2 linked regions of the Canis lupus familiaris genome follow. The protein of the gene in region 1 interacts with the protein of each later gene in a biochemical or structural test. Links are inferred from orthologs where the notes say so. Each region holds a gene or a part of one and is shown in the gene's direction. Other genes may lie near its edges. The genes, in order: DRAP1 and DR1.

The links.
Region 2: the proteins of DRAP1 (region 1) and DR1 form a complex in vitro, tested with the Homo sapiens proteins (2 studies listed by BioGRID). The link is inferred for Canis lupus familiaris from reciprocal best matches to the Homo sapiens genes DRAP1 and DR1.

What each region holds. Positions count from the first base shown.
Region 1 is NC_049239.1:51,850,335-51,857,799, reverse strand, and holds DRAP1 (dr1-associated corepressor), read left to right. Parts: upstream 1-3,049; 5' UTR 3,050-3,169; coding exon 3,170-3,211; intron 3,212-3,463; coding exon 3,464-3,536; intron 3,537-3,647; coding exon 3,648-3,741; intron 3,742-4,039; coding exon 4,040-4,159; intron 4,160-4,282; coding exon 4,283-4,376; intron 4,377-4,549; coding exon of another isoform or gene 4,550-4,616; coding exon 4,617-4,705; intron 4,706-5,051; coding exon 5,052-5,157; 3' UTR 5,158-5,288; downstream 5,289-7,465. Other genes in the region: C18H11orf68 (UPF0696 protein C11orf68 homolog), read right to left, coding at 1,137-1,893, 2,592-2,725. UniProt on the Homo sapiens protein: The association of the DR1/DRAP1 heterodimer with TBP results in a functional repression of both activated and basal transcription of class II genes.
Region 2 is NC_049227.1:56,204,963-56,212,568, reverse strand, and holds the start of DR1 (protein Dr1), read left to right. Parts: upstream 1-3,527; 5' UTR 3,528-3,608; coding exon 3,609-3,828; intron 3,829-7,606. UniProt on the Homo sapiens protein: The association of the DR1/DRAP1 heterodimer with TBP results in a functional repression of both activated and basal transcription of class II genes.

The sequences.
Region 1 (7,465 bases):
TTGCAAACTGTCCAGTGGCCCGTGACAGTCAGGGTGGGAGAAGTGAGTTCTTAGATGTGAGTTCCTTATGGCTGTACACATCATTCACCACATAAAGATGTCCAACCTAGGCTGTTGAAACCTAGCCCATCCTCTACTCACCAGACCATATGCCCTAACCTAGAAATGCCAGGACCAAGCAAATACACCCTATGCGCGGTAGCCTCAGACTTTGCTGGTTCAAGCTCCTAGATTTATGAGAAATCACTGAGAAACCGATTCTGATTCTTGGGATGGAGGAGAAGCAGGACTAGCTTTGCAGAGGCTCTCAGAGAGGCTCCCAGCCTTGGCAGTGAGGTGAATCTTATTATAGGAGGCAGTTAGGCGTACCCATGTAGGGCAGAGAAGCAGGCTTTCCTGGCCCAGCTTCTTTCCAGAGACCAAAGCAGGTAACCACCAACACAGTATTTTAAAAAACACTCAAGACACAGACCCAAACTGGGTTTTATTGAAATGCCAGGAGCAGGCACATGTCAAGGTAGTGAAGGAAGGAAGGTGGTGCAGGGAAGGAAGGAAGGTGGTGCAGGCTGTATGAGGTGGCAGGGAGGGGCAGGACCCATGTCCATGGCCCTGGCATCCCCTCTCTCTGCCAAGGGCTGAGTGGGTACAATCACCCTTCCCCCACCCTACCCCCAAAATAGCATGCTTAGGCCTGCAGGGCCTTTGCCCCCTGGACTAGGAAGGCTCCAAGAGGGACTGGAAGCACTAGTTTTCTCTCTTGTGAGGGAGGAGAAGGAAAGGATGCAGGAGAGGGAGGTACACCTGGGGAGGAGGGTGGCTAAGGAAGGCTCTCCTCCTGGGAATCTGTACCCAGCCCATGGTCCTGGATGACAGAAGGGAGCAGCAGTGAAAAGAGAGGCTGAGGGTCCGGCCCTCAGGGAGCCAGAGCCTCCAGCTGGTGGGAACTTGAGTCAGCCCTGAACAGAGGGCAAAGGTTCAAAGGGACCAAAGATGCAGGCAGTTTCCGATTGACCTGGTCCTCAGAGCTAGGGGGCTCAAACTCCTTGGGACAAAGAGGAGGAAGACAGGAGGATCCAACCGTAGCAGGGAGCTGAGTGGGAGGGGGGCAGAACGTGGTCTCCCCCAACTTGGCCACACTAGGTCAGTTCCACATTGTTGGCGCGATCCAGCACACGGGAGCCACGGGTACTGCCCCCCAGCTGAAAACGACTCTCATAGAGAGTGGGGCAGAGGTGCCAGCGGTTGGCCCGGTAGATGCCCAAGTAGGTGTAGACGTCAGGTTTGTAGGTGAGCAGGCACTTAATGCCTGCCGCACGGATGGCTGCATCTGCCTCCAGTACACCTAAACGGTCCGTGAAGTCATCGGTGTAAACACAGATGACCTGGCGCCCACCCTCCCTGGCCCGTGGGCTCACCTTGGCCACCTGAAGCTGGCCCTCGACCACAGCCCGAGCAATGCCAGCCCAGGCGTGGTCCAGCTTAAAGCCAGGTGCCAGGTGTATCAGCCACTTGCCAGACAGCACATGATGGGTGATAGCCAGTTGGCGCAGGGTACTCGGTGTGATGGGCCGCCCGCTGGTCTGCAGAGCCTCCCAGGCTGCCTGCAGGCCCTGCACATCGCCCGAGTTGGGGACATAGCCTTGCCCATATGCTGCAATCCAGCCCACGGGCTCAGAGTTGGGTGAGCCAGGGTCCCCATAGCGAGTAACTTGGGATGGTGGGTACTTGGCCAACCAGGCATCCAGCTCGGTGGCAGGTGTGGTGCGAGCATCAAACACCAGCCAGGGGTCCATGTCAGCTGCCATGGCCTCTGCGGCCAGGTGCTCAGCAGTGAAGCCATCCTCGCGGCCGCCTGGAGAGTCTTCCTCCTCCATCTCTTCACCTGGCTCCATCCTGCCATGAAGGAACAGAGTTAGAGCAGGTCCAGGACAGACGTACAACGTGCTGGGCCCTAGCTGGTGCAGCCAATGGGCTTAAACTCCGTGGCCTTAGGCAAGACTTAAGGTCTGGTGCCTCAGCTGCCTCATCTTTACAGTGGACAAAAGCTGTTCCTGTCCCGTAGAGCTATGGAGCATTAAACGCCTAAGGTGGAATAAGCGCTGCATAAAGGTTATTACTAATGCTATTACCACTCTCCCCAATTTACAGACCAGAAAATCGAAGCTCAGGGAGAAGTGACCCACCCAAGGTCACACCTGCAATGAGTGACAGGGGCCGAAATGTGAATTCAGGTGTGGGAGCAACCAGCCCAGCTACACCTCCCGGCCCTGCCCGGAACTGGCAGGCATCCCGATCGCAGGATTCAGCGGAGGGAGGCAGAGAAGCGCACTTTCGCGTAGCATCGAGGCAGGCCCAGCAGGACCAGACCCCCGGGCTGGCGCTGTCGGGCCTACTTGAGCACGAGCACATTGATGCCCGGAAAGAGCCGTGACCAGTCCAAGGCCAACGGGGCGACAGCCGGACTGGAACCCAGGCTTGGTAGAGCCTACGAGAGCGCCAGCCTCGGGCCCGCCGCGCCCGCCGCCATTAGCGCCCACAGCCCGAGCCGCGCCCCCGCCCAGCCCTGCCCCCTCCCGCAGCCCCGCCGTCACCTCCGGCCTTCGCCGCGCTCGGCGCCGGCCCAGCCCCGCGCCCGGCTACGCTCCTGCCGGGGCTCCGCGCCGCCGCCGCCGCCGCCGCCGCCCCCGCCGCGCCCCGCCCCCGCCACGGCTGCCGCCGCCGCCATCTTAGCGCCCGCCGCCTCAACAACAACTTTATAGACAAGCGCAGCACGGGGCGGGGCCGCCGGGCCTGTCGCCCGCGCCGCGGGGCGGGGCCTGCGAGGGGAGGGACTGACCCCGGGGGCGGGGCCGCCAGGGGAACCGGGGCGGGGCGGGGCGGGGCCTCGGGGGCGGGGCTAACGTTCGCTTTCCTAGGCTTGGGGGCCGGCGGGAGCGGCGCTCCGGTCCCGGATCGACGCGCACCGCCCGGGAGGCCGCAAGGGGAGGGCGCTCCGGCCCTGCGAGCGGCGTCCTGACCGGCGGCGCTAGGACCGCGTGGGGAGCGGCGGGGGCGGAGCAGGCGGCACCAGGACCCGGGGGAACCGCGGCAGGCGGGTGGCGAGCAGGCCCGGGGGCCGGGAAGCTGCGGGCGGCGGCGCTGGGCCCGGCGTGGCGAGAGAGGCCCTGAGATGCCGAGCAAGAAGAAAAAGTATAACGCGCGGTTCCCGCCGGTGAGCACGTGGCCAGGCCCCCGAGGAGCGGGCCGGGCTCTTTGGAGGCTCGGGCCCGAGCCGGGCTTGGGGAGGTTGCGTGGGGGGGCGGGCGCACCGTGGTGTTCGGGGTACGAACGCCCCGCCCCCTTCCGTGCCCTCCCGGCGTCCGGGTCCCCAGCCCTCTCTCCCGGGAGAACCTCTCTCGTTAGCCCCCAGCACCCCTTTCGGGGATGGAGGCGACAGGGTCCGAGTTTTCTGCCCCCTCCCCAGGCGCGGATCAAGAAGATCATGCAAACTGACGAAGAGATTGGGAAGGTGGCGGCGGCAGTGCCTGTCATCATCTGTATCCTGTCGGGGCCTGGCCAGGTTGAGGGACCTGGGGTAGGGAGGGAGCCCGGGGTCGCCTTGTTTAGGTTGGGGATCCCCCACCCGTGTTCTCCTTGACGCTCCTCAGCCCGGGCGCTCGAGCTGTTCCTAGAGTCGCTGTTGAAAAAGGCTTGCCAGGTGACCCAGTCCCGAAACGCCAAGACCATGACCACATCCCACCTGTGAGTGGCCTGGGAGCTGGTTGGGCCCAGTGGAACCTTGCCCCAGGAGTTCACACACTTAGGAGAGGTGGGAGGCTGCTGGGAGACCAGCAACGCCTCGAATATGGGTGGGTTTGAACTGGGGGAGGAGGGGTTGGGTGGTGTAGCAAGGCGAGCAGGTTCCGTAGTGGAGATGGGATGGAGGTTCTCCAGGCTCTATCCTCCTGATATCCATCTCCTGATATCTCCTGCTGTCCCTTGCTGAGAACCCAGACATCTGGGCCCCAGCTGAATTCCATCTTCTCCTCACCTCTTCCAGGAAACAGTGCATTGAGCTGGAGCAGCAGTTTGACTTTTTAAAGGATCTGGTGGCCTCTGTGCCTGACATGCAGGGAGACGGGGAAGACAACCACATGGATGGGGACAAGGGTACCCGCAGGTGGGGAGCCAGGGCCAGGTGTCCAGGCAAGGAAGGCCAAGGCCAACTGGGGTTGGGGGTGACTGGGAGGGGGTGGTCAGGGATGGTGAGACCTCTGGGCAGATGGACTGTACCTTCCCAAAGGGGTCGGAAGCCAGGCAGCAGTGGCCGGAAGAATGGTGGGATGGGAAGCAAAAGCAAGGACAAGAAGCTGTCAGGGACGGACTCAGAGCAAGAGGTGAGTGAGGCCCGCAGCCCTCTGGTCTACTGTGTGGTGTGGAGGGGGTGGTCTTGTATCTGGCCTAGCATGCTGGCTGGACACCCGGACCCATCCTCACCTATGGTTTTTTGTAAATTAGGGCTGTAAAGTTAAGGCTAGAGAGTTCAATGTCTTGTCCCTGCCGCTCCCAGGGATCTAGGCTCGCCAGTGATGGGCTCATGCTTTTCTTGTCACTTCTGACCCCTGCCTTGCTCCCAGGATGAGTCTGAGGACACAGACACTGAGGGAGAAGAGGAGGCACCCCAGGCGCCACCCCAGGCTGGCCATCCCCCTGCCCACTTTCAGAGGTAATCAGCTTGGTGGCACCAGATGAGGCTAGCAGACTCCTCAAGGCTGGCCTGCTCTTGTGGCCACTTGGTTTTGTTGTTTGTGGAAGATTTGGTGGATGAGAGGGGAGGAACTGAGGAGGGCTTAAAGGCAGAATGCTGCTGTCAGAAGATCCCCTCCCCTACCCCCACCCAGCCCCATTGGAGGGGGCCTGGGCAGGAGCTGTGTGACCTGCTCTGGGTTCTTCCCTTCTCTGGGCTCGGCTGCCCCTGGGTACAGAAGGCCGGGGGCTCCATGCTCACAAGGGTGGGGTAGGTGGGCACTGGCAAGGGGCCTGATCTTTCTCTTCTGCTTTCTGCCCTGCAGCCCCCCGACACCCTTCATGCCCTTCACTTCGACTCTGCCTCTGCCCCCAGCACCCCCGGGCCCCTCAGCACCTGACGCAGAGGATGAAGAGGACTATGACTCCTAGCGGCCTCTGCCCCCCCCCCAGGCCACACCCCCTTTTAGTTGGTTTTAGTTGCTCTGGGGGGAGGAGAGAAGATAGAGCTGTTCTTAAATTTATTAAAAAATTAATAAAAGGGAACACCAGTGTCTGTCCCAGCCTATGTCCAGGGCTTTGTGGCCACCTCCCCATCCATCTACCTGTTTTCCCCATGCTGAGCTGAGGCCAGAAGTGGTGGTAGGCAGGGCAGCAGCTGAGTGAGGGAGGCTCCAGAGGCCATGGTCCTGCCAGGGTAGGAGCAGGGGTGCTGACAGAAGGCAGAGTGGTGGTGGAGGGCTGGAGCCAGAGGTGCTGGTTGTGCTGGAGGATGACCTGTCCTGTTTTGCTGTGTGACCCTGGCAAGGTTCCTATCTTTGAGTGGCCTCTCCTTATCTCCCCGGTAGAGATCTTTCTGCCTACTCCGGGCTACTGCAAATAGACAGATTGGACAAACAATGGGAAGAGGACTTGCAAGCTATAGAGCTCTGTGCCTGGTGCCATGAAGGGCGTGTGGGAAGGGGCAGTGGGAGCAGAGACAGGTGGGATTGTCAGGGGCCTCAGAGATCAGCTTCTGAGCAGGAGAGTGACCCATTTGGTCAGTCCACTCCCATTTCTGAGTAGACCCTGGAATCGTGGGGTCCCCAAGGCAGGTGTGTGCTTTCAGGGAGCAGGGGCTTGGTGAGGCTGGGCAGAAGATGTGGTGGACAGTGGGTAGACTTGAGGTGTATGTTCTCAGTAGACCTAAGTGTATGGCAAACTGACTGGCTGTGGGGCTGAGAGGGAGGGAACCCTTAGGGACTGCTAGGTTTCTTTCCATAGTGACGTGGGCAGGGGCCCTGTTCCAGCTGGAGGACACAGAGAAAGAGCAGGATTAGGTGTTAGGGTCACAAGTTGGGCTGTGGCGAGTTTGGAGTGCCTGTGAAGCTGCTGTGGAGAGGCATAGGATGGGTACTGGCATGTAGGGGACTGGAGACAAATGTGTGAGCCTTGAGAGTAAGTGACTTCACCCCAGGGGGAGAGGGGAAGGCCTGGGCAGGCCACCCAGGGAGACTGGACAGCAGCCACACCCAGGTGCCCCCTGCCTCCCGCCCCTGGGCACTGGGGGTGCCTCCAAGTGTGTCGGAGGAGGGAGAGGTAGGCAGCTGTCACAACAGCTTGGAGGCTTTAGGAAAAGCTGGGTGATGGTTGATGAGGGAACTGGAGGTGAGAAGCTGAGGTGGGAAAGTGACACTCAGGCCTGAGAAGCAGAGATGAGAGCCGTGGCTCAGAGTGAGGACAGAAAGACAATTTTTGGTTTTGTTTTCTAAGATAACACAAATGCAAGCTGTAGTGAGGGAGGGAGACTGATGCAGTGAGGTGAGCTTGCCTGAGGCTGGTCTTGGCCTGACCAGGGGGAAGTGGAGGATGATGAGTGGGTTTGGCAGGAGTCCTGAGGTATTCAGGGTTTGTGTTGTGTTGTATTGCATTTTTTAAATTTATTTATTTATTTATTTATTTATTTATTTATTTATTTATTTATTTATTTATTTATTTATTTATGAGACAGGCAGTGATAGCAAGAGAGAGCAGGAGTGGGGAGGAGAGGGAGAAGCAGGTTCCCCACTGAGCAGGGAGCCCGACGTGATCCTAGGACCCCAGGATCATAACCTGAGCCAAAGTTAGAGGATGCTCAACCAAGTAAGTCATCCAGGTGCCCTGAGGTATTCGGATTTTATGTAACAGTGTCTGACTTCTTTGGGGCATAGGAGGCCAGGTGGCAGTGTGGAAGGGCCCGGGCACCTGGAGCCTAGGGGCACCTGGGTCCTGTCTGCCTCTCGTCTGGTTGTAGAGCCCTTGCTGTCTTTTTGGGATCATCTCTCTTCTCTTCAACCTGTAGTATGTGCAGCTGATCCCACTCCCTGAAGTTAGGGGGTATGGATGTTGCACCACATCTTATGGCCGCAGTGAATCGGGCAGGCTGGGCCGTGATCCTAGCAGGCCTGAGCCCTTGACGTTAGGCGGGACCATTGGAGAAGGATTTTGACAAGATGGCTAGCTTTCCCATGGCACTGGAGGCAGCAGGGAGCCCTTTCGGGAGTCCTGACGAGAGTGACAGTGGCCACATTGGGGTAGCAAAGCTGGCAGGATGCAAGCTGGGTGCTGCTGGAAGCCATTCCCCACCCCAAGGGGTGGTCCTGACTGAGAACAAAGTCAGTGCAAGAGAGCTGGGAGGTTCAGAGATACGGATTTCTGATGACACCAGGACCTGGTCTTGCCTGAACCCTGTTTACCTTGGACTTCTTAGTCACATGAGCCA
Region 2 (7,606 bases), on another chromosome or scaffold:
TTTTTTCAATTTGCATTATCACCAATTAGCAATTGGTGTGTTAGCAATGACAAATGAACATAATGGAGAGTGTTATTTGCTTTTTAAAATATTAAGTTTCAAATTACAAATGTTACAGATTATTGTAATTTTAGCTGAAAACCTGGGCAGCTATGGATTAACACATTTTAAGAGAACTACTATTGAGTTAGCCTACCTCATTATAAGAAATAGCTCTCTTAAAAAAAAAAAAAGAAATAGCTCTCTTATGTTTTTTTTTTTTCCATATCATAAATCTTGGAATACCATGAAAGAAATGTTTCATTTATATTCACTCTCTCTAAAACTCTTAAGCTTATTATGGAGATGTTATCTTTGTTTTCAAGGGCCTATTTACACTAGGGATATATTGTACTATAAATAACAACTTAAATATGGAATCCAGGTTAGTATATTTCATGACATCTCATGCTATTTCTTTAAAATATTTTATTTGTTAATTTGTTTGAGAGAGAGAGGTAGGGAGAGAGAGAGAGCACAGGAGCAGAGGGAGAGGGATAAGCAGACTGTATTGAGCGTGGAGCCTGAGGAGGGGCTCAATCCCACAACCACAAGATCATGACCAGCTGAAATCAAGAGTCAGATGCTCAACTGACTGAGCCACCCAGGCACCCCAACATCTCACACTATTTATATTTAAATTTTCTCTCCAGTTGTATTATGTACTGGTTTATTATTGGTTGAAGACTGCCCAGACCTGATAAAGATGATAATAATGAATACTAACATCCATATTAATTCATCATAATGTAAAAAGTGCTTTTACATACAGTCTCATTTGATGTTGAATCCTGTGTTATATAATATTTCCATTTCTAGTTGAAGAAAATCAGGCTCAGGGAGTGACCTGTCTAAAGTAACAAAAACTGGGACTGTAACCTAGGTCTCTTTACTACATATTTCATGCTTACAAACTATAGTTCATTACCTATAGTAAAAAACTATTACCGGAATAACAACTTAACATGTGCTCTGCAGATCTGTGTATAATTAGGTCTTTAAGTCTATAGCACAAATGTCATATAAAAAGGCAAAATTATCATTATGACATTTTTTGGGTCAGTGACAATGTGTTAACTCTGGGGACATTTTTTTTGCGAGCTAGCTTTTTCAGACTAATAAACTTGGTAAGGCCAAGATAAATTTAGACAATATAACTCTTTAAGTGGACAGTAAACTAACTGGCTTACAAAAGCACTTCATCAAGAGCCAACATGAGGCAAGGGTTTCACATTCCTGTTTTGAAAAAATTTAAAAATACTGCTTTATCAAAGAAATTTTGTTTTGACTAAACTTAGTTGCACTGAAAAACAAGCATCTATATTTCAAAAATTAAAGAAACCACAAGTGTACTGAAGAAACTGCCAAATGAAAAAAAAAGGGTAGATAACTAAGATCTCCTCCAGATGCCACATGTAGGATCTTCAATCCTAGGAAATAAAAGTTTTAAGGAAACATTTAAAACAAACCAGTTGCTATCCAATGTATCAAGAACAATGTATCTGATGAAGGTGCCCAAAGCGAATTAAATGGGATCTTTTAGTGTTTAGAAATTGCGGGATCCCTGGGTGGCGCAGCGGTTTAGCGCCTGCCTTTGGCCCAGGGCGCGATCCTGGAGATCCGGGATCGAATCCCACATCAGGCTCCCGGTGCATGGAGCCTGCTTCTCCCTCTGCCTACGTCTCTGCCTCTCTCTCTCTCTCTGTGACTATCATAAATAAATAAAAATTTAAAAAAAAAAAGAAATTGCAACACAGGGATCCCTGGAGGCTCAGCGGTTTAGTGCCGCCTTCAGCCCAGGGTGTGATCCTGGAGTCTTGGGATCGAGTTCCGCGTCGGGCTCCCTGCAGGGAGCCTGCTTTCCTTCTGCCTGTGTCTCTGCCTCTCTCTATCATAAAATAAATAAATAAATCTCATGAATAAATAAATAAAATCTTAAAAAAAACATAAATTTAAAAAAATTGCCACACACACACAAAAATAGAAATTGCAACACCCCACTGTTTTACAATATAACCTCTTCTTCCAAATGACGGATGACAAACTTTGTGAAGACTCTGACATATACTACAGGTCACCCTGGAGAGAAGCAAAGATGAGAGGTGCTTGATGGTCGGACCCACTTTCCTTCTCACCCTCTCCAGCAGCCAACGTTCAACACACCATGAAAAGGGGCTAAGCGGGAACCTCTTTAGCGTGGCTCACTGTCCGCTCTACTACATGGGATCTTACTTCTAGTTTCTGGCTTGGTTATTAGCAAGTCACTTCTCTGAAGGTTTCATTTCCCATAAAACAAGAAAATGGGTAAAGGCCCATAAAGAGCTTTGATCCGAACAACGTCTGTTAGGTGTCATCACAAAAGCGTTTCCTCCTGGCGATGTAGACGGGCACACGACGTTCTGCTTTCCCGACATCTCGTTCCCGAGCCCGGGCCTCCTTCTCTCAGCCCCAATTTGGGCTCCTAAAAGGAGATGAAATCCGGCGCTCCCTCCTCAAACAAGGCTGGGGGAGAGCTTCGAGGCCACAGCTGGTTAAGGGGCGGCGGAGGGGACCCACCCTCGCCCCCTCCCAAGCCGGGCGCGGCAGCCCGAGGGCCGGCGCGTGGCGGGCCGGCGCGTGCCGAGGGGCTCCCAGGTACCAGCGCGCGCTCGCCCCGCTCCGCTCCCCGCGAAGGGGCAGGGTCCCCGGGCGCGTGCAGAGACGACGGCAGGCGGAAGCCGCAGGCGGGGAGGCCGGACCGTTCCCGCCGCGGGCGGGTGGGGGAAGGGCTGCAGCCACACCCGGAAGTCGGTCTGCGAGGGAGAGGGGGGGCCGGAGGGGGGGTGAGGCTTCCGGTAGCGCAAAGGGTGTCGGGAGAGGCTTCCAGCAAACCTTCTTCCTTGGCCTCTGGAGGGACCACCGTTGCCGCGGCTTCGGCTTCCACGATCTGCGTTCGGGCTAAACGGCCACGGCGGCCGCTACTGTCGCTCCCCTGGTGCCCGGCTCTGTCCGTACTCGTTCCCGGGCGGCCGCCACGGCTCCCGCAGCGGCTGCGGCCGACATGTTGTGAGGCGGCGGCGCGGGTGTCTGAAGGATGGTTTGGCTGAGGCGGCGGCAGCGGCTGCTGGCGGCGGCGGCAGCTGGGGCTCCGGCTCTGTAGCGCCCAGCCCGCTGGGTGGCTGCCCGGTACCGCGGTGAGGCCAGTGCCCCGGACCTTGCCTCTCCTCAGGCGCGGTTGGGGACCGGTTAGGCGACAGCGCCCGCTCCTCGGAGGAGACACGAAGGTGGTTCCCCAGTGCTCACATTTCCGGACCACCTTGGCTTTCTCTCCGACCTGGACAGCGCTGCCCCGACCATCCTCAGCACCCCGACCTCCTTCCCGGTCTCGCCCTAAAAAATCTCTCACACGGGTGTTCCCCACCCTCACGAACCGGCTCCTCCCTACCCCCCACCCCCACCCCCACCCCCCTTCATTCTCCGCGCTCCTGGGATCACACTTTTGAGGGCAGCCTTTTGAAAATTCTTCGCGGAATAGTGGACTAGAGCTGGGGAGTTTTTAAAAGTCGGGGCGCGCGCGAGAGGGAGCTACGATGGCTTCCTCGTCCGGCAACGATGATGATCTCACTATACCTAGAGCTGCTATCAATAAGATGATCAAAGAGACTCTCCCCAACGTCCGGGTGGCCAACGATGCCCGGGAGCTGGTGGTGAACTGCTGCACTGAATTCATTCACCTTATATCTTCTGAAGCTAATGAGATTTGCAACAAGTCGGAAAAGAAGACCATCTCACCTGAGCATGTCATACAAGGTAAGTGGTACGTGTGGGGGTTTTGTTTAAGCGAGGGTCGGGGACAGCCCGCGAGTTGCGGGACCCATTCACGTCAAAGCCTTCATTCCTCTCCCCTACATAAGTACTGGCAGACGAAAAAGCCACGCGGGCATGGAAGCAGCCGATGCCTTGAGAAACTCCTGGGTAGTATTCTCGTGGTGGTGCTTTTCATCCAGCGAATACACGTAAGGATGGCAAGCGTTTAGGTCAGCCAACATCCTCCAGGGATAAAGTATTAATTGTCTCGGTTGACGGCCAGGTAAGCCGAAGCAACAAGAATTTTGCCTGCATGCCTGCCTAAAGTGGAACCTAGACGTGACGACTGAGAAATTGTCTGCCTAAAGTGGAACCTTCGATCACAACAACTGAGAAAGGAACACAGAGAGTTATCCCTTGGAAAAGGAAAAATCACACGGGAACTTCCAAGGATGAGTGGAGACAGCACCCCTTCCCCATGCGGTCTTTTCAGCAATGTAGAAGAAAAGATGAATTTTCTGAACACACGAGTAAAAGAATTCTTAACATAAATGTGTTCAACGTTGTAAAGTTTGGTGATGTTGAATAAAGACAGTATGTTTTCTGCTTTAAAAATGGTTTAGTGGTCCTACCATGTTAACCAGTCTTCTTTCCTCTTTCCTTCTTTTTTCACTTTCTTTCGTAGTTTTTTTCTTTTGTGTAGCTTGCTTTGCTCTATGGAGATAAATTTTTAAAGCTTGGATTGAAAGGTTGTAAAAGATATTTTTCATGGAACATTTCTCTGTCCTTTCTTGCTGCCTTTCCCATTTAGCTGTATACACTTAAGCTTTTATTGAACAGCATTTTTGGAAGTTTCAACCCTTTCTTATCTTGGAAAGGATTTAGTCCAATAGTAAGGACGTGGGGGACCACATTCTGATGGTTTGTTTCAGGCTAGGGAGACATATTTACTAGTCATAATGTTTTGAGAGCACATATGCTCTTATGGGAAAGTTGCATTCAATTTGAGGCGGTAATTTGCCTTTTATAATAATTCAATTAAAATCTAAAAATTTTTTGATTGCTTTTGAAGTCAGAAAAAATGATTAATTTTAATCATATTAGTGGGCATTTATTTTTTATAATTTTTAAATTTATAATTATTCTTAAATTTATAATTTAACTTTTTAGAGGTGACTTTCCTGTTATTCTGAAGTAGAGAACACATCTGCTCGTATTTACCATCTCCAATATTTTACTATCAGTATTGACAAAAGAAATGATTCATTTTTGGTCCTTAATGATGTGTGGAAGATAGATTTAAGTATACTCTGCCATTTCCATTCCTGTACATGAGGAGAAAAAAAAAATCTCTAGGAAAAACCATGTTTGATTTTAAAGCCAGTGTTTTCTACTTGTTTGGTGTGCTGAACACTCTGGCAAGTACAATGAAAGTCAAGTTCTCTATTTTTTGTTTCGTGTTTTATTTTTACATTGTGTGTACTATTGTCATAAGTCTTTCATAAGGTTATCCAACACAGATAGCTGTAATTTCCTCTTACAACTCGTAAAAAAGAAAAAATCTTTTATCAACATTGCCTTTCTAATGAAAATTGCACAAGATTTCTAAAGGATGTGCTTAAACATTTGTTTACAACACAGAAGTGGGGATTATTCCAAAAATCTAATAACACATTACGGTCTGTCTTCTTGGGTAGTTTATTCTTTTCTGGGATATATTTAGATTTCTGATTGACATGATGGAATAAAAGTGCAGCTGTAGTGAGCAGTATGCTAACTAGCTCAACTTTGGAATATGCTAAATTCAGTTTAAGATGTGAGTCAGAAAGTTCCAGTGAAAGCATTTTCATTTTCCTTTGTGTACTGGGGATGATTGATTAATTTTCTTAAAAAATCATCCATTGACCTGTTTTAGTCTTATAAATTTACCCTTTTTTTTTTTTTTTTTTTTTTTGGTAACATTGCTGTTAAGTAGAAAAGGACCTACCATTTTTGCCCCAAATTCTTCTCCAGTTAGGGGAATAAAATTTATACATTTATAATCTTATGTTAATCTCACATTGCGTAATCATTTTAAAGAATTTTTGTCTTGAGTGGTTACATTTTTAAAAAATGTATATATATTTTTAAAAAGTGTTAAAAATGTATTTTACAGATTAACCCTGGAAAGCTTGCAAAAACATGGAAGTTACAACATTTTTTATGCTTTTTGTAAGCATTAATTATTTTGGTATGTAGGATGTATCCAAATGGAATAATTAGTACATTTAAAGTTGTATGAGGGATCCCTGGATGGCGCAGCAGTTTGGCGCCTGCCTTTGGCCCAGGGCGCGATCCGGGAGACCCTGGATCGAATCCCACGTCGGGCTCCCAGTGCATGGAGCCTGCTTCTCCCTCTGCCTGTGTCTCTGCCTCTCCCTCTCTCTGTGTGACTATCATAAATAAATAAAAATTAAAAAAAAAAAAAAGAAACCTGGATGGGTTATCTTAAAAAAAAATTAAAAAAAATAAAGTTGTATGAATCTCACATGTTGAAGTTCAGATTTTTGAGTAGTAAGTTTAATGAACTAGATTTTGCTTTAAGACATGTCATTTTTCCCTTGCTACTTTGCTTTACCTTGTCAGAGCAAAGTAAGCATTTTGGGCAGTTCTGTAAAATGCAAGTTACTAAAGTCAAAATAATCTTCTTGCCAATAAATCTTTGAAGTCATTAAATTTTTTAAAATTTCTAAATGTTATGCTTATTTTGAGTTTAAGAAAGTGAACTTGGTAATGAGGATCACAGATACACAAAGCAATTCTAAGCTGTAAAAGGTGTTCCTTTTATTTTCATTTCTGGTTTCCCTGAACACATATTCTTTCTTTTTTAAGGTTTATTTATTTATTTTAGAGAGAGAGTGAGCACAGAAGGTTGGGGGGGTTGGGGGGGACAGTGAGCAGAGGGAGATGAGGAGAGAGAGAATCTCAAGCCTTGATACAGGGCTTGATCTCAGGACCCTGAGATCATGACCTGCGCAAAATGGAGAGTCAGATGCTTAAGGACTGAGCCTCCCAGACACCTCTGTGAACACATATTTGTAAATGAGTTTTAACATTCTGTTGTATTATGGAAAGAACTAACATTGAGAGTTTAAGAGTGACAAGTTCTACACTGCAAAGTGTTTGGCCTTATGCACATTTATGAAAGGTTTCCTCTTTTATGTATAAATAATACCTAATTGTTTCAGGTATCACTTGCAATTATTGAGAATTAATCAAGGTTGAGAATCTTCCATGATATGCTGTAATAAATAACAGTTTTTTAAATGTGTAATGGTACTGATTAAAACATGTCTGTTAGGTTTAATCTTAAAGCATGATGCCATCTGTAAAGCCAAAGTATAAATAAGGATATTTTAAGTGATATTATTTTTTTGCATTTTTAACCTCCTCCTACATCCCCCCACCCCACATTTAAAATAATAGTAACTGAAAGTAATGAAAGCTTGAAAAAGTCTCTGAAGGTTTGCTGTTTTAGCAGTTGTGTTCTCCAAGCTATCTATGTTGAAGGATTTTTTAAAATTCCAGTTCTTCTCACACTGGTACTTTTGTGAAATATAATAAAAATGAATCACTAGAAAAACAAAATTAAAAAAGACATAAATAAAAGTTCAATTTTTGTTGTTAGATTCAATAGATATAAAATAACGGTCAAGTTGCTATGAAGTTTCCTTTTTTCCTAGCTTTATTGAGAAATAATTGACGTAACATTGTGTAAGGTTAAGGTGTACAGCATAGTGAT